4 linked regions of the Drosophila melanogaster genome follow. Changing the gene in region 3 together with the main gene of any one other region gives a genetic interaction. Each region holds a gene or a part of one and is shown on either strand. Other genes may lie near its edges.

Evidence for each region.
Region 1: of ple (region 3) and Txl, changing one suppresses a phenotype caused by changing the other (phenotypic suppression), as found in Drosophila melanogaster (one study listed by BioGRID).
Region 2: of ple (region 3) and Ask1, changing one suppresses a phenotype caused by changing the other (phenotypic suppression), as found in Drosophila melanogaster (one study listed by BioGRID).
Region 4: of ple (region 3) and Itpr, changing one suppresses a phenotype caused by changing the other (phenotypic suppression), as found in Drosophila melanogaster (one study listed by BioGRID).

Annotation. Positions count from the first base shown.
Region 1 is NT_037436.4:5,763,848-5,767,584, forward strand, and holds Txl (Thioredoxin-like), read left to right. Parts: upstream 1-1,998; 5' UTR 1,999-2,162; coding exon 2,163-2,528; intron 2,529-2,585; coding exon 2,586-2,869; intron 2,870-2,928; coding exon 2,929-3,142; 3' UTR 3,143-3,237; downstream 3,238-3,737. Other genes in the region: CG10576 (uncharacterized protein), read right to left, coding at 587-749, 812-948, 1,240-1,337, 1,494-1,581; Ppat-Dpck (bifunctional phosphopantetheine adenylyltransferase - Dephospho-CoA kinase), read right to left, coding at 3,289-3,737.
Region 2 is NT_033777.3:19,877,986-19,885,728, reverse strand, and holds the start of Ask1 (apoptotic signal-regulating kinase 1), read right to left. Parts: upstream 6,011-7,743; 5' UTR 5,806-6,010; coding exon 5,686-5,805; intron 5,614-5,685; coding exon 5,419-5,613; exon of another isoform or gene 4,847-5,418; coding exon 4,668-4,846; intron 4,246-4,667; coding exon 3,348-4,245; intron 3,292-3,347; coding exon 2,953-3,291; intron 2,887-2,952; coding exon 2,084-2,886; intron 2,021-2,083; coding exon 1,874-2,020; intron 1,534-1,873; coding exon 634-1,533; intron 574-633; coding exon 301-573; intron 236-300; coding exon 1-235. Other genes in the region: Arc42 (Activator-recruited cofactor subunit 42), read right to left, coding at 6,479-7,452, 7,521-7,730.
Region 3 is NT_037436.4:6,713,489-6,721,253, forward strand, and holds the start of ple (pale), read right to left. Parts: upstream 6,038-7,765; 5' UTR 5,586-6,037; coding exon 5,517-5,585; intron 4,528-5,516; coding exon 4,416-4,527; intron 4,185-4,415; coding exon 4,065-4,184; intron 3,939-4,064; coding exon 3,846-3,938; intron 3,462-3,845; coding exon 2,642-3,461; intron 2,347-2,641; coding exon 2,220-2,346; intron 1,881-2,219; coding exon 1,482-1,880; 3' UTR 1-1,481. UniProt on the Drosophila melanogaster protein: Plays an important role in the physiology of adrenergic neurons.
Region 4 is NT_033777.3:5,515,225-5,520,156, forward strand, and holds the start of Itpr (inositol 1,4,5,-trisphosphate receptor), read left to right. Parts: upstream 1-1,892; 5' UTR 1,893-2,664; intron 2,665-4,932. Other genes in the region: Nmdar1 (NMDA receptor 1), read right to left, coding at 794-916, 988-1,164. UniProt on the Drosophila melanogaster protein: Receptor for inositol 1,4,5-trisphosphate, a second messenger that mediates the release of intracellular calcium. Together with MCU, has a role in oxidative stress-induced ER-mitochondria calcium transfer.

The sequences.
Region 1 (3,737 bases), 950 kb from region 3:
AAGAAAACATTCCAATTCCCTTTGACTAATCTTAATCAAATATCATAGTATACTATAGATAACGCAAAATAACAATAACTGATCGGCATTATCATTGCGATTGTGGACAACTTTAAAGACCGAACATTTCAAGTATCTAAACTTGTTCAGTTCACGAAATCGACACTGTTGATCTCTGCAGACGTTGAGCTGTGCTGAGCCACGAGTTAAGGCAGCAGACAATCCGTTGCCTGCAGATTACAATTCCGACATATCTATAAACTGGAGATGTGGACAAATTTAAAGACCGAACACTTCTATGGAATGAACTTGTTCAGTTCACGAAATTGACACAGTTTCTATCCGCAGGTGTTGAGCTGATCTGTGTCAGAGTTTGAGCGCAGTCAATCCGTTGCCTGCAGAAGAAATAACCTTGTGGACAACTGACAAGAAGCCTCCAGTCCTGAATAATAGGCCAGGGCAATTACCAGCTGCCACAGCTGATCTTTGCAAGTGTTGAGATGTTCAGTCGCTGGAGAATCGCGGCAGACAATCCGTTTCTTGCAGGGATTAACGGAGGATTACCTAGAAGTAAGGGAGGACTCACATTGGCGCCGGACTTGAGCAGACGTAAGGCAGCCTGGACAGCCCAGTAGGCGGCGAGGATGACATCGGCCTGGCGACCACTGATCTTCTGATCCGCAGCAGCGCCTACCACAATTGTGTGAGCGGCCACGGCAATGAAACCATCAATGTGGGCACCCAGATCGCTGTAGAAAAGAAATGTTACGTATTTAGTGGCGGTATATGTGGAATAGGAGGTTCAACTTACATTTTGACCACATCACCGGCCTTTAACGTGTAGTCAGCATCGTTTTTGGCTGGCGAGAAGTGGCAGACACAGTTGTTGACGGACAGACAGGTGGGAAAGGCAATGCCCTTCTTCAGGTCTTTCTCCTTTTTGTATACCTGTTTGTGAAAGATCGATAAAAGCATTAGATTGCTTGTTCGTTGTACTATATATCAATGATAGTGCGCGGTGTGTCCTCAGATCTCATAATCTGTAAATCCTCGGGACCTTTTGGAGAGCACACAAGCCGGGCACGTGGAGCATTGGAGTCCCCGCGTGCGCCTGGCGACCACGAGGTGATCCCCAGCCCGCACAGCACATGGCTCGCCATCGGGAAACCCTCAAAGGTGTAAGTCTTAATCATTGGACATGAAATTGGCGCGAATGACCGCCAGGTGGCCACCACTTACTTTGCCGGTCTCCTCGGTGAGCTGATTGTCGCCCTGGGTGCAGATCTCCCGGACGGAGGCATCAACCACGCAGAGTCCAATTACCGCCTTGAGGGTTTCTAAAATTAAACGAGCAGACAGAGTCCAGAAATAGGCAGATTAACCAACGCGTGGCGCACAAGGGAAAGCGGCATTCGGTGCATTGTGTAAGCGCCACGTAGCAGCGACTCCAGGAATCGGCCAGCGTTCGCTGTTTCCGGCCAAGGAATACTCACTGTTGACGATTTCGCCGGCCAACTTATACTTGGTCACCACCAAATCCTCGGCGATGGTCTTCTCGGGCTCCTTTTCCACATCTGCCATTGTACTTGACTCTAATAATTTTAAAATGGCGACTTAATGAAAATGCGACCGACTGAAACACCACGAGGTAATGAACGTGTGGCCAGGCGCAGCGCAGGTATCGAAAGTTCCAGTGGCGTGTATGGTGGGACCGCTCATTCGCCTTGACAACCCTGGCAAATGGGCGGTAAGCTTAAGATGAGCGTGAAAGCGTAGATTGCTAGTCGTAAACACTGAATGAATTTTAAATAACACTTTGAGCTATATCAAATGAGAATATTTCATAGTTTTACATATTGTAATCCACTAATATTTCAATAAAAGTTTAAATATTAAGTTTCGGTTTTTTTCTATTACACATAAATGGTCCCTCTAAAAATAGGAAGTCAAAGAGCTCGAAATATCGATACCATCACAGTGTGACCGCTTGTGGAATACCGCATTCGGTATTTTTCTTAGCACGAATTTGGACTAAATGCATATTACAAGTCATCTTTAACAAAAAAAATTTGCATTGAACGTTAATAATAACATTTACTTGCTTAAATCCAATTCGGCTGCCGAAACAAAAGCTCAATTAATAGAAACCTAATCCTATCACCATGTCCGTGCGCGTGATCAACGACGAGTCCCACTTCCAGGCGGAGTTGGCCCAAGCGGGCATTCAATTGGTTGTGGTGGACTTCACAGCTTCGTGGTGTGGTCCCTGCAAGCGGATTGCGCCCATCTTCGAGACGTTTCCAACAAAGTACCCAAAGGCCATCTTCCTGAAAGTGGATGTGGACAAGTGCCAGGACACGGCTGCTGGACAGGGCGTTTCGGCCATGCCAACATTCATCTTCTACAGGAACAGGACCAAGATCGATCGCGTCCAGGGTGCGGACGTCAATGGGCTCGAGGCCAAGATCCAGGAGCACATCGGTACATCCGGTGGCGAGGAGGGGGGCGAGGATTACGGGCAGGGATTGGTAATATAGTGCAGTATTTGGAAATGTTCCAAAAATAATCCCTAATCCTTCTTACAGATGGAACTGAATACATTTATTTCGAAGCAGGAGTGCGAGTGCCTCAACGAAGCTGATGACCACAACTTAAAGCACGCCCTGGCCTCCGCCGGTGGCTACCTGCAGTCCGATTGCGATGAGCAGCTCATCCTGTCCATCACCTTTAATCAGGCTGTGAAGATCCACTCTTTGAAGTTCAAGGCACCTTCGCACCTGGGTCCCAAGGATGTGAAGCTGTTCATTAACCAGCCCCGCACGATTGACTTTGACATGGCCGAGTCCATGAACAGTGTGCAGGATCTAAGGTAGCTATTGCCTTCTCTATGGCTGCTTAGCTCTTCTCACTGTTCAATCCATTTTGCAGCCTGGCTCAGAAGGAGCTGGAGAGTGGAGTGCCCGTGAATCTGCGCTACGTCAAGTTCCAGAATGTGCAAAACATCCAAATCTTCGTGAAGAACAATCAGTCAGGTGGCGATGTGACGCAGATTGATTATATCGGCTTCATCGGTTCCCCCATCATGACCACCAAGATGAACGACTTCAAGCGAGTGGCTGGCAAGAAGGGCGAGAGCCACTAAGGTTCCATTGAAATTTTCAGCGTTTTTCCCCAATGACGTCCCAGCATTTCTTTTCAACTTTGGACTTACAACTAAACAATATACAACAAATGCATAAAAAATCATACAAAATAAGGATCAACAAGATAATCTAAATATCCATCGGGTTAAAGGCTGCTCTGGTAAGAGTCCAGTTCCTTGGTAAGCATTTTCCACGCACGCTCCGCCTGTTTCTGGGTGAATTCGTGATCCCATTGCGAACTGAATATCACATGCGACTTGGCCACGATCTCAGAATTGGGCACCTGACTGGCCAGTCGCTTTTGGGCCTCCACTTCGCTCAACTTGTTGCGCTCAATAATCCGCCGCACAGCCTCATCCGGTGGCACAATCATGGACCACACCTCATGGCAATTGGTCTCCCAGCCCGCTCGCAGCAGCACCGCTGCCTCCAGGACCACCACACGCGGCACGTCCGCCTGGGAACGCAGTGCATCCAGCCGCCTGTTAACCTCCGCAATAAGTTCCGGCCAGACAATGCCGTTGAGTGCTTGCAACTGCTTGGGATCGGCAAACACCAAGGGTCCCAGCTTGGACCGATCGATGCGACCATCGT
Region 2 (7,743 bases), on a different chromosome or scaffold from region 3:
CTCGCTGCACGAATCGTACTCGCTTTCGCTTTTCTTGATTTTCGTTTTGATGCCCGGCGTTCCGGGAGTTGTGGTTGTGGGTGATGGTAGCGTATTGTTGTTGTCAATAAGCGCAAAAGAGCTATTGCCTCCAATGGGTTTGTGGTAAGTGCTTGGTGGACTGTCCACACAATCGGACGAGGTGCACACACGTTCTTGTATAATGAGTTTCCACAAACGCACTTCGATGCCAACGCTGCAAAATACCAAAAGTTAGTTGAGCATGGATTAAGTGTACTTTTCTTATAAGCTTTAACGCACCGCAGACCCAGCCTCATGAGGTCCAGCTTTTCCATGTTATAGATAAAGTCGTCAAATGTAAAACCTTCATTCAGGATGAGCGTCTTTGAGAACTCGTCTATTTCCTGCTGGGTCAACCACTGCTCCAACTGCTCGTCTACTTCGTGAAGACCAAAGTGATGCTTGTTTAGCTGCCTCCGGGGATTGCCCGCTATATTCGGACGGACTCCGGACGTTCCGCCCACACTGGTACTCATTCTATGGCACTTTTTGTTAAAGCCGTTTATTGTGCGTCTGTTAAGATGAAATTGTGAATTATAATAAAATTTACAATGTCCTACTTGGTTTACCAACCTTAATCTCTTTCTGCCGCCCATGTAAATGTGAGCCAGCTCCTGACTGATATTATGCAGGGCCCTCATGCTCTGCCGCTGCTGCTCAAGGAGCTGGCGTTGCAGCTTCTGCTGATTGTCACGGATGTCTCTCAGGATGCGCGCGCACTCCATCGAACTGGACAGAGCATCCCCGCCCGATTCCGCAGGCGTTAATCCCACACCTTCGCGAGTGTTGCTCGTGGGAAGAACTTTTTCCAGGCTCTGCTTTTCCTGGCTCTCGGTGGAACCCTTCTGCATTAGACTTGTACGCAAGCTCTCATCATCATTTCCAGACAGGTCTTTGTCCGCCAGATTGGCGCCCAGTTCAGGAGAGAAAATAGTGACCGCCGCCTGGACGGCCCGCTTAACCAGATTATCCAATGCGAACATCCAATGGGGTTTGATGCAATGGTACCGCAGTACGCAGACCACGGCGTCCTGAAAGGAGTACAGCGCCAAATGAAGATGGTCCAGAGCAACTGCGTCGTTGTTCAGCTTTTGTTTCAGTTCGTTGATAGTCGCTTCCAAATGCTTTTCGTTTTCGTTCATAATGTAGTCCCGCAGTCCTCGGATTAGAACCTCCAAATCGCTTTTCCTAATCGCAATCGAGTTCTGATCAGCGTCGACCTTCTTCAGCCAAATATCGCAGATCTTGGATTCGTCTAGTGCCAGCACCTTGGAAAGCGTTGTCCGCCTCTGCGAATCCTTTTTAAGCCTGTAAAAACCGTCAGTCTCGCTCGTCTCACTAATGCTCGTACGCAAGGACGGCGTGGAAGGTTCAATCTCTGGCGAGAGCAAAAATCCATGGGAATTTCGCCGTTCAAGCATAAACTGGTTGCTGGGCAGCTCGTCAATGTCCACCGAGGATGAATGCGTTATGCTGAAATAGGAAACAGAAAGTACAATATAAAATTACGTTTATTTTACAATACATCAAGTGCTATCTCTTCTCAGTATCAAAATCCGAGTGCGCATTTTCCAATCATTAAATATGCACTTTACTGATAGCAACAATCAATGTGTTAACTACACGATAAGCAAAGGCACTTGTTACTCTTATAATAGTAGACGATATGGGAAAATATAGAGAAGCACGGAAAAATTTTTATATTCATTAAAATTAGCAAAATATAAATGATAATTTTCAACAGATAAGATAACCTCTGCTTGTAATTGAGGAAGGTCGAACATGATAAGAATAGTCGCAGCGTTTAACTTACTCCAATTCCGGCGTTGTGGGCGTATTGCAGGTTGTGTTGTAGCTCAGCGGCGGTGTGGTTTTGTGCACAAACCGATCAGCCGGCACCGAAATGCTGCGTCCGAACTCAGTATTGATGGGCAGGGCTGGGCGCACCTTGCGGGGTTTACTTATTGAGAAAATTAAAAGTGCAATTAGAAAGGAATTAGGCAAAACAATTAAGCAAACTCACTCTTGTAGGAAGGGATCTTCCAGAAGTTGCGAGGCGGAGGGTCGGTCCATCACGCTGATGGCAAAGCAACGCAAAATAAAGTTCTTTGCGTTGGCGGACAGCTCCTCGGGTATGTTCGGATGCTTCTTGTAAAAGCCCACCTTGAACATGGCCGCATGGGCGCTACCCAGCTCGATAAACGGTGGTTTGCCCGTAGCCATCTCAACGTTTGTGCATCCAAAGGACCAGATGTCAGCCGCCGGGCCATAGCCGCGTACTCCCTGGTCAATCACCTCCGGCGCCATGTACTGCAAGGTGCCCGTAAAGGTCTCCGTCATCGGGTTGATGCGGGCCAGCCGCTTGGAGGTGCCGAAATCGGAGATCTTAACCACGCCGCTATACGTGTTAACCAGCACGTTGTCACCCTTTATATCGCGATGAACAATGTCCTGCTCGTGAAGGTACTTCAGCCCCTCGAGGATCTGCTTGGAGTAGAAGGCCATGGTGGACTCGTTGTCCTTGAGCGGACCCCATTTGGTCTCTAAGAGGTCGGAAAGCGATCCTCCCGGCACCTGCTCCATGAAGATCTTGAAGAAGCCGTTCTCCGAGCACGATCCCAAATAGCGAACTATGTTGCGATGTCGCAGCTGAGAGTGTAACTTAATCTCCTCGTGCAGTGGCTGCACATCCTGCGAGTTCTTTTCCGGCACCTCCTTAATGGCGATTCGCACCTGCGTCTGCTTGTCCCTGGCGGCGTACACGGTGCCATAAGTACCTTTGCCCAGCACCATTTTGCGATTCTGCTCATCGTAGTCGTACTCGTACTACAATTAATAATAATTAGCAAAAGTGGCCGGAATATATGTATATATGAATAATAAATAACTTACCTCGATATTAGCGTCATCATTGCTGAGATTGACAAACACCACCTGATCTGCAGTCATCTCCAGGATCATATCGTAGAACTTTTGTCGTCGTTCAGTGGAGGGAAAATATATTTGAAAATCATCTGAGTTGTGATGGACGTACAAGTAGGCACAACGATCATCCCTCTTGTAAAGGCTGACGGACTTGATCTTCGATGCCACGAAAAGGAAGTCGTGGATTTTCTTACACGCATTCTTTGCGTGAGCCAAACAGATGTTCACAATCTGAATGGACTTCTCATCCGCATCCATGTTTATAGTCACATAACTGGGCATATAAATCTTCTGAGGCTCGAGGATCTGGAATTTGTTTTGAGTTAATAATAAAGCTTAAACTGCAGATCAGGGGTACCAACCAGAATCGGAAAGCGAATGCTGTTCTTAACCTCCTCGGTGTTGGTGGCCTCCAGAAAGAAGTCCATCCAGAACTGGAACACCTGCTCCTCGATGGGCGGCTGGCGTTCCTCGGGCTTCTTTCGAAATCGATGTATAAGAGAGATATTTCCGATGGTCGACTTCAGATACCAGTTGGGTGGCTTTAGCTTGAACATGCACTCGGCAGCTTGAATCGCCTTGGCGTAGTCGTTGGCCAAAACGGAGATCTCAAAGAAGGTGGCCACATCCCAATACTCACTCAGCGAGGATAGGCTGCCCTTTTTACCGATTAAATTGTTTAAGGTCATGCCGATGTGCTGCAACTCCTCCGTATTGGTAAACTCCTTGCCCTCGATAACCAGCAGAGTAGCCAGATTGATGCCTGCATACTCATTCGGCTGCACCTCAAAGCTTTGGCGGTACCACTTGATGGCGTGCGCCAAACTGGTGGCGTCCGTGTAGTCGGATTCCACAAAGATGTCCTTGTAGATGCGGCCGCACAGGCAGAGCATGTCCGGAAAGTGGTTCTCCTTCTTTTCCAGCGCCTTCAGCGAAGATTCCAGAGCCTTTTCACGGTCTCCCTTTCGATTTCTTCGGTTCAGGGCGAAGGCGTACAGGAAACTCATGTTGCCCGTCTCCACGTACTTCCGGGTGTTGGGTATGTTCTTCAGGTCATTGACCAGTCGCACCATGGCATCGTAGTCCTGCACATCCCTCAGCGAGCACATGAAACTGTGTACCACTTCGCCAGACAGGACATGCGGATCGTCCAGCCGCTTTCGCATCTCGTGCAATATACTCTGCAGCTTGGCGCCGTTGGTGGCGTACGTGTCCCGCGCCGTTCGCATGTCACTCAGAAATTTCTCACGCATGTGGGCTCTGTAAATAACCGAAAATAGCTTCGTTTAGTTTTTAGGTACACAAATAATGCATAATAGGAACAGTGTTTCGTGCTCTGGCTGAAAGACTAATTAACTTAGCATCTATCTGGTACACCAAATTTAAGATTTCAATTACTTTCATTTCATTACTTGTTAACCCGTAGTAGTATCACTAAAGTTCGAAGTAATTTAAATTGAAAGGACAATTATGATACTATAAAGAGACTTAAGAATTTTCAGCGATTATTGATATTTTATATGCAATTCCAAGGCCAACACAATAAATCGGTCTGATTCATTTTAGATGCAGGGCGTGACTTTTGCAGCCAATCTGCCGCAGGGGATGTTATAAATAGTGTTCCGATATGCAATCACCGTGCATGACTTACTGCAAAAGGGGACTCCCTAGATTGTACTCACTTCGACTGGATCTCAACATCTTGCAGCTTTCGCTTGAGGCGCCACTGCAAAGTGGGCACTCGTCCTTCGGCATTGGGTTCCTTGCTGTTGTTGCCGCTGTTGGGCTGGCTGGTCAGGTGGCAGGAATTGGTCTCCGCATTCCGCTTGTAGCTGAGAAACAGGTAGTTGGCACACGAGAGCTGCAAGGGGAGTAGAGTGTACCTAATTTAATGACCGCCACTGTGAATGCAGGCCACGCTGCGTTGGTGTACACCGTGCTGTTAGTGTGTGCGTGCCTCTTTGAGTGTTTGCGTGGGCGTGCTCGCATTTGTTATTGTTATTGCTGGGCCAATGCTTTTGTTGCTTTATGGCCGCAGCCAAAACAAAAATAACGAAAACGATTCGACGGAAATACAGTCGAACTTCCATAGTTCAAATTATTGGCTGCCATATGGGAAAGAGGTTTTAGTTATTAACCTCTGGAAAGAGGAAGTTTTTCGGTTTCTTTTGCAATTTGCTAAAGGAAGACTAGTAGATAGAATAATTTTTAGTCATTTTCCAGAAAGAGGTGTCTAAGCACCTAGGTTAGAGACTTGTTATAAACTCAGTTCGCGTTGTGGAAGCTCGACTGTAGAAAGATCAGCAAGAACAACTAGTCCAGGAGTCCACGCAGTTGCTGGTCATAGCATTTATCTTATCGGAAGCGGATTCCCGATCACGAACGCAGATGTTTGCCAGGCACGCCCGGCCAGGTAAACACTTCCGAACGCACCTTGAGACTGAGCGTCTGCTTGGAATCGATGTCGTTGTAGGTGAGGATGTTCTCCTTCATCCCGAAGCTCTCCCTAACGCCGTAGTGATAGGAAAGCGGCCGCTGCTGGGTGAGAATGCTCAGGTCGATAATGGCCACATCGGCGTTGTAAAACGTCTCCAGCACATTCGTCTCGCCGAAGTCCAGGCGCTCGAACTGCAAGGATGCCAAGTGGGGGGGATGTAAGTCAAATCACCCATATGCCATTGTATAACCAAGCTGGCGCACCTGAACCCGCTGAAAGTTGGCGCCCGCCGACTGCACTGCCTGCTTGATCTCCTCCAGCGCACACTGGCGGTCCTCCAGATGGTCGCCCACCGCCGTATCCATTACACACACCACATCCATCGCTGTTTCCATCGCAGCTATTCTTGGCACTTTTCTGCTCTTGGACGGATTTCGCGCACTTCACGCGATTTCTGCACTTTCTGGACGGCCGACACGCGCAGCTCAGTGGCAAAAACTCTCATTACCACGTTCCTGCTGCACTTGCATCGCGTTAATTACCGCGTAACGAATAATTATCAAATAAATAAAGAAACTTTTTGCTTTTGCTGTGTGACCGCTGCACAGCTACCAGCAATATACCGAATGAAGTCACAAAAATACCACACAAATATGCTAACCGACAAAGCCTTGCTGCAGTTTTGGCGCCAAGTTCCCATTTTTTTGAGTCATTTAAAATTTGGTTTAAAAGATATAATATAATTAGGCATATAAAATAATAAGCTTTGTTTATAAATATATTTTAAAAGCACTTAAGGTTCATTATTTTAATTAATTTACAAATATGCAACGTCTAAAAAGTAGTCAAGAGTTTCACTTATTTTACTTTACTTTTTGAACGAAGATTTATTGTTTTGCTAACTTTTTCTAAAGAATTAAAATGTTGTAGGTGTTTTTTTCATGTATTTCTATCTATTATAAACAATTATACAACTCAATAGAACTAGCAAAATAGTATATTAAAAACGTTCTTTATTAAACGAGACACAAGTAGTACGGATATATAACTTTGATCTTAACTAGCATATTCCTTTAGAATGGAGCCCGCGATCACCAGTCGCTGGATTTCGGAGGTGCCCTCGTAGATCTCAGTGATGCGGGCGTCCCTGTAATGACGCTCGGCCGCCATGTCGGTCACGTAGCCCATTCCGCCCAGGATCTGGATACACTGGTGGGAGCACAAGGTGGCCGCCTCCGAGGCAGCCAGCTTGGCCATTGCAGCTTCTTTGGTGTAGGGCTGCTTTTGGTCCTTCAGCCAGGCGGCGCGCCAGGTGAGCAGACGTGCCGACTCCATGGCCAACGACATGTCCGCGATCTTTTGCTGGATGGACTGGAGCTTGGCAATGGGCTTGCCGAAGGCCTGTCGCTTCTGGGCGTAGTCCACGGCCAATTCGAGGGCAGCCTGACCAATGCCCAGCGCCTGGCCAGCGATTCCTATGCGGCCGGCGTCCAGCGTCTGCATGGCAATCTTGAAACCGAAACCCGGCTCGCCCAGCATGTTCTCCTTGGGCACCACGCAGTCCTCGAAAATTAGCTGGCACGTCGAAGATCCCCGGATGCCCAGCTTATCCTCCTTTTTGCCCAGCGAGAAGCCCTTGGTAGCCTTGGGCACAATGAATGCGGAGATGCCCTTGTGCTTCAGCTGCTTGTTGGTGGTGGCGAACACAATGGCTGCCTCCGCCTCGAAGGCATTTGTGATCCAGGCCTTGGTGCCATTCAGCACGAAGTGATCTCCCTTGTCGGTTGCTATGGTGGAAGCAGCTCCAGCATCGGATCCGTTTCCAGGTTCAGAGAGCGCGAAGCAGCCCACTCGTTCGCCGGTGGTAAACGGTGTGATGTAGTCCTTCTTCTGGGCATCGTTTCCGAAAGAGAGAAGCGGTCCCAGATACAGGGAGTTGTTCACCGACATGATGACGCCAGCAGAGGCACAGCCCCTTGAGATTTCCTCCATGGCAATGGCGTAGGCCACATAATCCAGTCCAGTGCCGCCTGATTAACAATAAAGAGATACAATGAGATACTATAAGGAGGGCTGAGGTGGGCGTAATATTAATTACCCAGCTCCTCGGGAATCGCTACTGCCATCACGCCCAGTTCGCCCATCTGGCGGATCTGTTTCTCTGGATACAGGTGCTCCCGATCGAACTTGGCTGCGTTTCCACTGAGCTCATTGTTGGCAAAGTCCCGGCAGGACTTCTGCAGCATCTGGTGCGTCTCCGAAAGCGCCGACAATGAGGCAATTTGACGAGCATTTAAAGATCTGCGGGCTGAATATCAATA
Region 3 (7,765 bases):
TTTATTGAATTTTTCAGAACCAACGAAGCCTGGCTTGGGGACCAACTGCGCTTTAAGTTGATTATATATATAGATTTATGTGCGAATATAATTAGTAATTAGTTTGGCTAATTGCTTGCAGAAATGTTAACACTTGGTTGGCTTTCGATCCAATTGCAACTACAATACATCGAACAATAACAATAAAATTCCATGCTACGTTAACTATAAATATGTAATATTCTTGATCCCAATGTTTTACTTTGTTTACTTTGAAATATTTTGATTTTAATTACTTTATAATAATACATATGTATTGGTCCAAGGTTTTTCGTTATTTTATATAATTTCATCAAATTTGTGAAATATTTTCTACATAGCTCGATTTTAGTTCACATGAGATTCACTTCTTCTCACCCATAAATATATTTATCATATTCCTCGATTCTACTCATTAATTTTAAATAAATATTCCATTTTGATGTCATAAAATGTTCCCTAAACAGATTCAGACTTTAGAGTTTCGAATTGCCAAAGAAGATAATCAAATGAAAAAACCAAAGAGTAATTATTTTTCAATTGCATTTTTAATTTTATTAATACACAAAACTTAAATAAAATAATAATGTTTAAACTCTACATACCTACAATACAATACGTAATAGTCATAAGTATAATAATAGATAATAATAATAATAGTACACAATAGTAATATTGTCGTTTACAGTTATTGTACAATGTAAGAAAATTCTGTTTTGTTTTCCATTTCATTTTTTATCTTTTCCGTTTTTTTTTTTGTTTGTTTTCCATTTGTTCCTTGCTCGATTGTTGTATCTATATCATTTTTGTTTAGAAATACTCTCTCTAAATGAAGCTTCCTATACCGGGAATACTATATCGCGTGTCTATATAGTCTAGGTAAATATTGTGAGAGGCAAAATGAAGATAATAATAATACAAAAACAATTTTTGTCTGAGTATACAATCGGTTTTTGTGTGGTACTTTGCCTACTAAGTGCGGATGTATCTGAACTTTGCTTTCCCAGCTTTTCACTTCACTTAATTCGCTTTGCTTTGCTTGGCTTGGCTTGGCTTTGTTTTCACATCACTTAAACGTCTAAAGATTTTTTGGTCCAATAATAGTTGCGGTGATAAATATGCAGGTTGGGTGGTGTATCGGGTGATCAACAAATAAATATGCTTGATTTTTGTGTTTTTTACCATGTGCGCGATTCGACAATTACAACTTTTCGATGACAATTAAATAAAAATTAAACAAAAAACAATAAACAAAAAATAAAAAATAATGCGCGATGCCTTAATTTTGGTTTAAGGATTACGTGTACGAGGGATTGTGCGGTATGTCAATTTAAAATTAATTTGTATAAATGAGACCGTTGCACCTGTATGTGTATGTTTGGGTGGTGGGGGTGGCTGGTGTTTTTTTGGGCGATGTTTTTGGGTGCTTCTATATATCATACATATATCTCCCCCCCATCCACTTAGAACGGGCGTCGCAACTTGGAGATGGCGTTGGTCAGATGCAAAATCTCCGTGTTCATCTGGTGCACCAGAGTCTCCAGCTTGTCGACGGAGTCCAGCACCTCGACGCGCTCGGTGTGCGGGTTGAAACGCACCTCGAATGGACGCGACATGGTGCTCACCCAGCGACGGAACTTGTCCTTGGCATCCTCGAAGCTCTCGGCCACATAGTAGATGGGCTGGTACTCCTGATCCTGGTAGGGCTGCACGGCGGTGGATGCGGGCTCGAAGGCGCGGTGCTCGCACTTGTCGCTGATGGCATGGAGCAGCTCACCGTAGGAGCTCAGGAGTCCAGCACCGTAGGCCTTGATCTGACCATGTTCCTTGCAGAGACCGAACTCAACAGTGAACCAGTATACCTGTAGAAATGAAATGGTAAGGAACCAATGAGTAAATAGGAAGGAAAATAAAAGCAAAGGCAGATAATGCAGGAAGTTGTATGACTTATAAGATCAAGGTTTTCTGAACTTAAAAACTTATTTAAAATCACAATTAAGTGTTTTGAAATGCATTAAATTGTATCTGTAAACTATATGAATAAAAAGAAAAAAATTATTCTGGCATTGAAGTTCACTTTTCCTCTTCGACTTTGACAGTGACTAAACAATGATCTTGGTTGCGAAAAAAAACTAGCTGCGTCATAGCTGCACTTGAGTCTAAGGTCGTTACATTGCAACTCAATTAGAAAATCAACTCACCGTGGACAGCTTCTCGATTTCTTCGTCGGAGGCACCCAGCGAGGCCAGTCCAATCTCCTGCGAGAACTGGGCGAAGCTGGGATCGGCCAGCAGGGGCATGTGACCCAGCAGCTCGTGAATGGAGTCGCTGTAATGGCATAGAATAATGCTTGTTAAAAGTGTGGAAAATGTGCTGGCATAAGGCAATTAGTCTGGTTAAATGAGCTGGGCAGCCTGCCGCAGTTCCTGTAGCCAATTTGCCTGTGTTCCAGGCGACAAAAGTTGCTTGGGAAAAGCGGAAAAGGAAACCCAACCACCCACACACACACAGAGGCAGGCGGCAGGCAGGCAGGCAAATGCAATTAGGCTAGGACAAAGAGCCTTTTTCTCCCCTTTTTGAAGTGATTTTAACCCCCTAGTAAAATATGATGATAGATACTTACGGCTCGGGGGTGTGGTATGGTGAGTTAACGTGGCGCACATACTGGGTGCTCTGGAAGATGCGGAAGGCCAAGGAGGCAAGGAAGTCCCGGGCAGTCAAAAGACCGGCGGCAGGACGGAGAGAGAATCCGGTGTTCTTGCGCAGAAAGTCGGACATCTCCTGCAACTGGGGCAGACGGGTCTCCACGAAGATCTGCTCATCCTGGAGCTTCTGGAAGGCGGCCCGGTACTCGGCACAGGCGTGCTTGGGAGCCAGATCCTGAACGGTCTTGAACACCGAGCGCCAGGTCTTGACCTCCACATCGGAGTAGTCGATGAATGGGATCGGGTCTCCGTACTTGTAGGCGAATGCGATCTCGGCAATTTCCTTGCGACGCTGGCGGTATACCTTGTCGGCGAATCCGGGGTGGTTCATGTCCAAATCGGGCTCGTACTTGGTCATCAGATGGTTGCAGTTATCCAATTCGGAGGCGTGCTTGGGGAACCACGGAGCCTTGACATTCAAGTTATTGTCGGCCATCAGATTCATGCTGCTGAAGGAGCCCGACTGCCTGAGGGAGCGGATCAGCTGCAGCAGATTGCCACGGGTCATGTCCAACTTGATGAGGACATCGTGGTCCACGCCCTCCACGCGCGACTGACGGGACTCCACATGCTGGACGGTGCCGTGGAAGGTTTCGATGGCCTTGAGGATGCGACCCAAGGAGGAGATGCCCTCCTTGAGGCGGACCACCAAAGCGGCACTCTGCATGGCAGCCTCGGCATCCGAGGATTCGGAGGCGGCATTGGCCAACAAAATCTCGTCCTCGGTGAGACCGTAATCTGCAAAAGGGCCAAAAAAAAGCGGGGATAATGTGATGGTTAAGGATGCAATCTTCCAAGGCTTAGGGTCACGTAAACGATAAGCGAGCTACGTGGCAGTGGCAGTGAGACGGTTGCCAGGCAAACGCATTTCGTACTTGTATTAAGTCGAGCGTAACAAATGAAAAAGGGAAATGCGACATTTCCACAGAGAGAGAGAGAGAGAGAGAGAGAGCGAGCGAGCGCGCCCACTCACAATTGTCCGTGTGGCTGAGTGCTTTTCCTCTGCCCTGGCACTTTATCATATTAAGCACTTAAATCAATGTCGCACGCTTTTCAAAAGCCCCTCTCAGAAGTTAAGTACTACTTATGGTTGGCTGCTGGATTCTAGAACCCCCTGCTCACCGTTCTTGGTCGGCTGTTGGTTGCCTTCTGGCTCCTGCGACTGCGACTCCGACTGCTCCTGTTCAACGCTCTCAAACTCAACATCCTCCTCAACTAAAAGCGAATGAAATAAAAATAATAATAAAGCCCATGAAAATCATAATCAAAATCAAATCAAAGATAATAGGCTCAGAAAGAGGAGTAACTGGCATGGGAATTGAAATGGAAATGGATATTAACCTGGAACATATTCCTCCAAGGGCAGGTTCTCCAGATTGGCATGCTCGTCCTGGAGCTCCACATCTTGCTCGGAGGGAATGTGCTCCTGAGCCTGCACAATGCAATCTTCCAGGGAATCGTCTTTAAAATCATAAAAATAAAAACGAAGGCAAATAATAAATAAAGGGTTAAAATGAATAAGAAAAAAACGCAAATCTATGTCAAAACGAATAAAATGAAATAAAAATTGCAACTTTTTAAGTTTTTAATCAACAAGTAAAGCCCTAGCTGCAAAATTTCCCTTTTGATCCCAAATAGAAACCCTCTTTGGAGCTATTTTAGTGACCCACTTGTTGGACCCTATCCACTTACCATTTGCCTTGCTGCGGGCCTCCTCGAGGACGGTTTGTTTGGTCTGCTTGACCACCAGGGTCTCGAAACGGGCATCATCCACCAGGCTGCGACGGCGGGATGGATAGCCATTCTGGAAACGAAAGCGAAAAGATTGAAGTCCGTGTTAGTGACACTGGCAGGATGTGGAGCGGAAATTAGACGATTGCCTTGACCTTCAAGCCAGGGTGGCTTTCTTCGGCTCCACGCTTGGGTGGTGACTTTGAGCAGAGTATTGCGCAATTTTGAAAATATTATATAAAATGGTGTGTGAAAGCGCCGTCTTCAGATCTTTTTCTTTGAATAAAGCTGGCTATTCATGGAACTGTATTGATTGTGATTCAAAGCCACGAATGGTAATTTAATGCGATGTCGCCGCTTCGAAGCGGGCAGGTGCGAAGATAAATGATATGTGACTGAGAAATCGAAAATCCCCATGCGATTCTGGCGGGAAAAAAATGCAACTGGCGATCGTTAAAGGTTTTTTTTCTTTCTTTTTCTTGATGGGGGGAAAAAGGTTTCCATCACTTGCAGTTTTCACTGTCAGCTCGTTTTTTTTTTTTTTTGTTTGTTTGTTTTCTTCAGTTTTTTTTTTTGGGCCACCGCTTTGGCTGATGAAAGATGACCAACTCATTGAATCATTTATATTGATTTCATATTTTTTGTTTTGCTCGGACGCAGCATAAACATAAACAGAGACGAGTCAACAACAATGAGGCGCGACTGTTTCGGCCAGGCTAAGTGCATGGGGCCCAAAGGCAGCCACTTTCACTTATTTGTTAAATAATAACTTAACACACAACCCGTTGTGTCCGTTGGCGATTTGGGCCTTTCGATTTGGGCCGCCTGTTCTTAGAGGTGTGACTTAATGGCCAACCGAGGATTGAGTTTGGTCAAATTGAATTGGCGAAAAAGAAATGCGGGATCACAAAAATGGGCTCGACTACTGGCCGGTTAACTGGTTTTTTTTTGAAAACACAAAACCTTTAGATAGTCACGTAGACCAAATCTAGTCACTCATTTGCTTCTTTTTTTTTACAATTCGATTTGGAAATTGTATGTTTTGCTGGATTTTCGACTCACCTCAATACTGTAGGATTTCTTGATGGCGAACATCTCGCGGTTCTTTTGGGCTGCTGCAACGGCCATCATTTTTTTTTGTGTGTTTGGGTTGTTTTCGTTTGGGGTGAACAACAAAAATTTACGCAAAGTGTTGGCAAAAACACTTAGAATACTATTTGCTTATGTGCTTGGTTACGCTTTTCTTGTTTGATTTGCAATAAGCACTCGAAATGTGTTGACACTTTCACTGCTTATTGGCGATCTGGCTGGGTGGTTTTGTTTTTCAAGAAAATCGCTCCTGGTACTGAACTGTTTGCGTCTAGAATTGAGCTGGACAAGAACTCTCGACTCTCGAATTCACGGCGGGATATATAGATGGTTGATCGGTTGAACTTTAGCTGGATCCTTTCGCGAACTCGAAACTGATGTGGTGATGTGTATTATCCTTGTCAGCTAAATTGTATTACAACAAACAGAGTCAGCAAACTACTTGAGGCTGGGCACAAGTCTTTAGGGCGAATGATAGCGAATCAATGCATGCTTCATGTCGAGTTGCCGCCGCTTAAATACCCCCAGATTCCGATTCCGACGGCCAAGTTAACGAACGTTTCGGCCGATTGCCGACGATTGTTTGCTTCACCAAACGACGATGACTGGTTTTCGCATGACGCGACTGTGACGTAGTTGCCCAGCTGTAGCTGGGTTAAAGCCAAGATGCCGATGCCGTGGGGTTTCCTCTCACCAGCCAGCTAACCAGCTAGCCAGCCAGCTGAGTGGGTCGAGAATCGCGGGGCCTGACTCGACTCAACTTGGTCGACCAAGTTCAAGTGCGGCAACAGGCTAGAACGTCGCATTGGCCATGTTTTTGTTGCTCTTGTAGCTTGGCTAAAAAGCGGGGTTAACCATTAGCGCGTGCGCGTCAATCGGAATGGTGGTAGAATACCCCAAAAGTATTCAGTCAGTCGAACGGGAGTCATTTGAAAAGCCTCAACAGGTCATACAGAAAAAACCAAAACAAATCCAAACAAAGCGAAGCTAGTCCATGCCAAATGTTAAGCATACGCCGTGTGTGCACAGAGCAAAATAATGAAAATATATGACATTCTTACTCTGTAAGTTGTTTTAGGGAAATGTTTTTAACCACTAGAATTATTTTAAAGAAGTAGGTTAAAATTATTAAGAATGTTTTAGACAATAAAAGCACCTTACGTTTATGATACGTTCCATTTTTCTAGGTGTAACAACAGTCGAAGATCTCGTTCAGTTTTAGAACCCAGCAATTCGCATTAGATCCTGAATGACTCAATCGAATCGCGTCAGAACTAGAGCGGATGCTGAAGCGGATCGTATAGGGACCAAGTGAAAGTGAGCTGGAAAACAAAGTAATGGTAAACAGGAAGTACGGATCACATGGCTGCGTGCGTGCCCGAGATGTAAGTAGGTGGCACCCAGCCATATCGATTAAATTTTAAAAGCACATTTAACAACTAATTTGCATGCGTAAATGTAGCACATTAAACTAAGCCCGGGCGATAAGTACAGGCACATTACAATATCTATGGCATAATTGAAAGCCCCGTCAAAACATCTGGCGATTGGGATTTGCATATGGCAGCTGACGGATTACGAGACCGACCATATAGCAATCTATATAAATAATTATATATATATTCCTGTCCTGTAAGCTGATAACGTTGGCAAGGCTGCCGCCGCTTCTCAAATTGGACTCGGGCCGCCAATTCGAATGACATTTTCAGTGGCAGTGGCAGTGGCAGCATTATTTTCAATCGTGTTAGCTTTTAACCAAATTCAGTTAGCGGCGATGTCGAGATCGAAGCAAATTTGCCATTGATCTACATATGTGCACTTGTACTTGCCAACAATCCGGTCATCCTTGCAGCCTGCATCTAGCAACTAACTAACTAACTAATGCCGATGTTAATGCGGACCGTTCAAATTAGTAGATCGAATCGTTTGATTGAGCTAACGAGCCCGATAATGAGCTAACACATCACATATACGTCTATTTGCTTCGATCCGCATTAAGTTATTAAGGCATCTGGAGTAGCAAAAACATAATTATCGATCTGATAGATCCATTATACAAATTGGATCGATAGAGTGGGATTGGTGAGTTAATAAGTTTGTGGGAGCTAGGAAATACATTTGACAACATCGAAAAGCTTTTTACTTAGAATATCGAGGGTAATAATTAATAAATAGCACTTACTGGAAATAACTTAAATTATTTAAAAAATATAATACTATCC
Region 4 (4,932 bases), on a different chromosome or scaffold from region 3:
ATGTGGCATAATATGGGAAATGTGATGGATGGAAAGCAAAGATAATCAAAATGGCAAGCCAACAAGTTTGCCGGCAAAAAGAGTTTCAGCTTTAAGTGACGAAGTCTCACACTGAAAGGTGCATTGCACTTTAAGTGCCGAAGTGCTCTTCGTCATTAGGATTTTATGGACACCTTTTTGTGCATAACAGCGATAATTTATTGCACAAGAATCCAGTTTTGTGATTTCCTTCATTGTACATGAGTACAGTGCGATGAAATCACTTATTTCATTTGAATGGTTCTTTACATTTGTACCCAGTTTGTAATATTATATATTTTTATTTAGAATAAGTGACAAATAAGTACCGATAATACTTTAATGTTGCCAAATAGTAGACAATATTGTAAATCACTTAGCTCAACTAAAGACCATCAATAATTAAAAAGATAATTATGATTATAAATCTTAGCTTTCTAATAACCAAACCCCTACAAACTCCTTCTATATATCATTCTGCAAACCTGGTTCATAACAACAAAACGCATTTAAAGTAATATTGTATAATTATAGTTCAATTTGCACATTTAAGCACTCTTTCGCTCTAAGAGCTCCAGTTGGTTAGCTCATGGATATTGGATTCTGCTGGCGCATTACCGCTTGTCATCATCCCATTTCCGAATCATTTCCCCTTAAATTATGGAAATGAATCGAACCAGGTCGGGTTAAACACAGATACGAGTATGTGAGCAGCTTCAAGCGATGGAGGAATGGTCGGAAATGAGCAGGTAATTGCATTTGGCCACCGACTTACCCGATTCTCGATGAGCTTGTCGCACACATTGAAGACCGTCTTGATGGGATTCTTGTCCATGCGGATGGTTTTGTCGTAGTAGGTGACCTTCCGCGGCACATACTGCTGATCGAAGTTGAGGTGCTGCGGTTGGATGGGAAAGCGTGATTATCGCATTCGGATTAGTGGAGCATCCAGTTAGTCAATGGGCTTGCCTTTATTGTGGTGCTAAAGTGCTCCTCGCTGTCGGAATTGCTCAGTACGCCGCCAATGTTGTACGTCGAGGGATTATCCGAGGCAGTGTGCCTCTGGGCGGCATCAATTGGCGCCACCAGGAGAACAATGGCGAGCCCAAACAATGGCCGGCAAAAAACAAACTCAGCCATAGCCATGATGCGGAAGTCTATAGTTTCTGGGGGAGGATAAACGAGGTGTTTTGTGCAACGATTTCAATGGTTTCTCGAGCAAACATCCAGCATTTTCTGCAAGTCGAAAAGGGGAGATGCCGCATATTAATGGCATTTTCCATTTCCCATTGCAGCAATGAGAATGGTCAAAGACAAGATTTCTTAAAGTTTATTTTGCTCATTTTTGAAAAAGCAGAACTTTGAATTCGCGGTGTTTTCTTACATATGTGGTAATGCCAGATCGCGAAAAAATGAATACCAACGCAAGATCGTTAGAGTGACCATTTCATTGTGTTAATAGGCATTAGAAGCAAAATCTAAGTATGTGAGTCGATGAGTGGAAAGATTTTAATCCTCGGCCAATCTATCAACATTGATCTGGAATTTTCAAGCACAGATGACTAAAAAACTATGAATATTTGAATAAGATTCAAATCTCTACCCTGTGCTGCCATGCTAACTAGTATTTAGAGTATGTTAGTATTTTATCCATGCGCTCCCATCTAATTTATCATATGGTTGGTTCTGCGGTTTTCAAACACTTGCTTATGTCATTCCTTGTCAATAGTAAATGCAATTAACGTGTTACTGTCAATAATTCTATATATGTGTGCATAAAACAGTTAAGATGTCAATTACACCATTTATTAACGGCTAACTAGTATTTTTCGCGCGGTCACACTAATCGATCATATGGTTCGACGGTTTTTAAACACTTGTTGCTCGACCGCGCTTTCAGTCGGACGTGTTTTCGCTGGGGTTTTCCGCGTCGGTCCGCCTTATCTGCGCTGCGCTGGCACTTCGTTGGAGTGAGGGAGACGGAGGAGCTGAGCGGTACGGTACACGAAGTCGCGCATGACGCGGCGCTCTGGAAAATTGCATTTTCATACGCCTTGAGCGCGTAATTTATGCCCGAAATGCTGGCCAATTTCAATTTGTTGGCCTAAACGCGACGTGCGTGTGTGGGTGTGTGTGCGTGATTGGGAAAAGTGCGTAGAAATCGACAATCGTTTTGTTTGCCCGCGCTGCTGCTGCGCTGCGACTGCGCTGCTTGTGGGTGGTCAACGGGATCGTGGGGTCGGGAGAGCCGATTGTTGACGTTGTATCGCATGCTGCCTCTCTTTCCCGCAGCCGGAATTGTTTGTCGCGTGTTTTAACGGTTATTTCTTATTGACAAAACCTCCTCTGCCGACGTCGCTGCCCCGGCATTGTTATTGTTATTGTGTGTGGTTTCTGGGCCTTCTTCTTCCTCCTCACCGTATTCCCACTTATTGTTATTCTCTCTTTTCCGCGGCTAAGTGCGGCCCACTCAAGGTGAAAATATATTAAGTTCTTTCGAGTGCCCGCGAGTGTTTGCATTTGAATAAAATAAATATAAAGTCAAATTCGATTTACGATCGTCGTCTATCGACGGATGATTCAATACCAATCACAATACAGTAGCACATCTCTACAAGGGATATTTTACATTACATACATTCTACGGTGAGTATCCCACGACAACGACAACGACAACCTGTTGCCAATCGAGCCCAGTTACTGGTTTTTCTGGTTTCCCGAAGGGCTTGCCACCAATTTAAGTAGGTCATAAGGCAATAAGCCTATCACGACCGAACCGATAGGCTAATTACCGCGATAGCTATTATCTAGCAGTCACGCCCTCGCCTTTTGATCCCACTTGATTTTGATTTCGTTCTTGCCTCTTGCTTTCGCTCAATAATTGACAATAAGCCAAAGCGAAAGGGCCAGAAATGCGCTGAGATTCAATTACGTTGCAGTGGCCACTATTTGTTGCTTACACGAATAGAAAAGCTAAGGAAAAAACATATAAATCCCACTGATTGAAGACATTTGCTTATCGGGGGTATGGTTCTATGCCAGCTACTCAAACAAAATATAAATAAATCCTTAGGGAATCAACTCCGAAGTCAAGTGTTGATTTCAACTCAAGCCACTATGTATATGAACGTGATGCTTTCCAAAATTGTTTTGTGGTGAGAGGGATTGTTTGTTGTTATACAAAAATTCTTCAAATGGGAGTGTTTAAGAATTATAATGACGAAGTAACATAGTCATAATTAAAACTCGTATTTACTCGTAGAGTGAAAGGGTATACCGGATACATATATTATTGATCAGATCGAGATTTCGGGATCTATAAAATCTAGATGTGCAAGTTTAATTCACAACGTCCGCGCCCACTCTAACGCCCACAAACCGTTCAAAACAGTCACGCCCACAGTTTCGAGAAAAGTTTGGATTTTTTTAATCCTAATATTTCTTTGTCAGTTCCTAAAGTTATGCAAATCACTTTTGGAAATTTCTCACTTGACGTCCTCTGAACTGAATGCATCTGCGTTCGAGAAAATCAACTTAGCGCCGATATTTTCTCTCAGTGCACACATCTTGATTGCAGACAGCGGAAAAGAGAGAGAGAGCGAAAGGGAGAGAGAGAAAGAGAGATGCTGACTGGGCGACGCGTGCTTAATTAAGCGCCACATTGTTGTTGGTGTTGACTGGGCAGGTGGCGAGCTATAGAGTAAGAGGCAAGATGAGGGATACCAAAAAAGATGGGGGAGGGGGATGAAAAGTGGACGTGTTGAGCCTGCTGCACGCGATGATTTCCATTACCTGGGGTAAAAAAATGGCTTTTCATCGCCAAATTCCTCTCTGGCCAAGTTTTTTTGTTGCGATTGAAAGAGCGCACTTCACTACTTCTTGATTTGCATGTAATCATGATTGGGTTAATGGGCCTATGATCACACAATTACGATCAATTATATTCACATTATAATGTCGAACAAATTACTAAATTATACAATCAATGGGACCAATAGATAGTATGTGCAGTGAGTTTCATTTATTGAAGATAACCAGTCAATTGAGATGTCATTTGCGGGTACTTTGATCAACCGGCTAGAAAATGTACATATATATTCTAATTTTTAAACGCTAGTTCGGTATAGTATTAAAATTTTTTTGATTATTATGTTTTTGTGCAATTATATATGTATATTTAAAAAAAAAAGTTGGAACTTGACAACTATTTTCTCTTTAACCACGATTCAGATGTCATCAATTTTAATATAAAGAGTTAAAAAATTCACAATTTGTTTTTGTTATTCTCTCAGAATCCCTCAACTGTAGTTGATAATTCTCCAAAAGTTGTCGTATAATTGCATTTGACATACTGATAACGTTTGTGCATGATTTTTAATCAATAAATTTTACCAACCAGCCAAATTTGTTCAGTTTTGCCACTTGTCACCATTTAAACAAACTGACCACAAAGATATTACATTAAATAAATAAAACACATTGAAGATTCTCAGGTATGCTTATTTTTTTGACCACAATCGTGTGTTTGCTCCAATTTATGTGGGCTTGCCATGAGCATGTGCATAATTCGAAGCTGAATTGAGCAGCTGGTGGGGATTTTGTGGAAGGGGGGGCGGTAAAGTGGCCGGGGTTGGCGCCTGGGAGCGCCAGCAATTAACATAAACAGGCAAATTGTGTAAGCGACATTCTGGAGCTGCAAATAAAATATAAGCGCCCGCCCCCCGCCCATCCGATGTGCACAGCCCACTTGGCTGCAATTATTAAGGGTGTGTGTGTGTTTGTTCGGATGCGGAGGTCGGGTGTTATCAATGAAGCAGACTGGATGAGAAGCAAAGTGTTCTCATCAGCGCCAGTCTGGTGTGATTGTGTGAGTATCTGTGTGCTTCACGTTTTTTCTGCTCAGGTGGGCCGAGG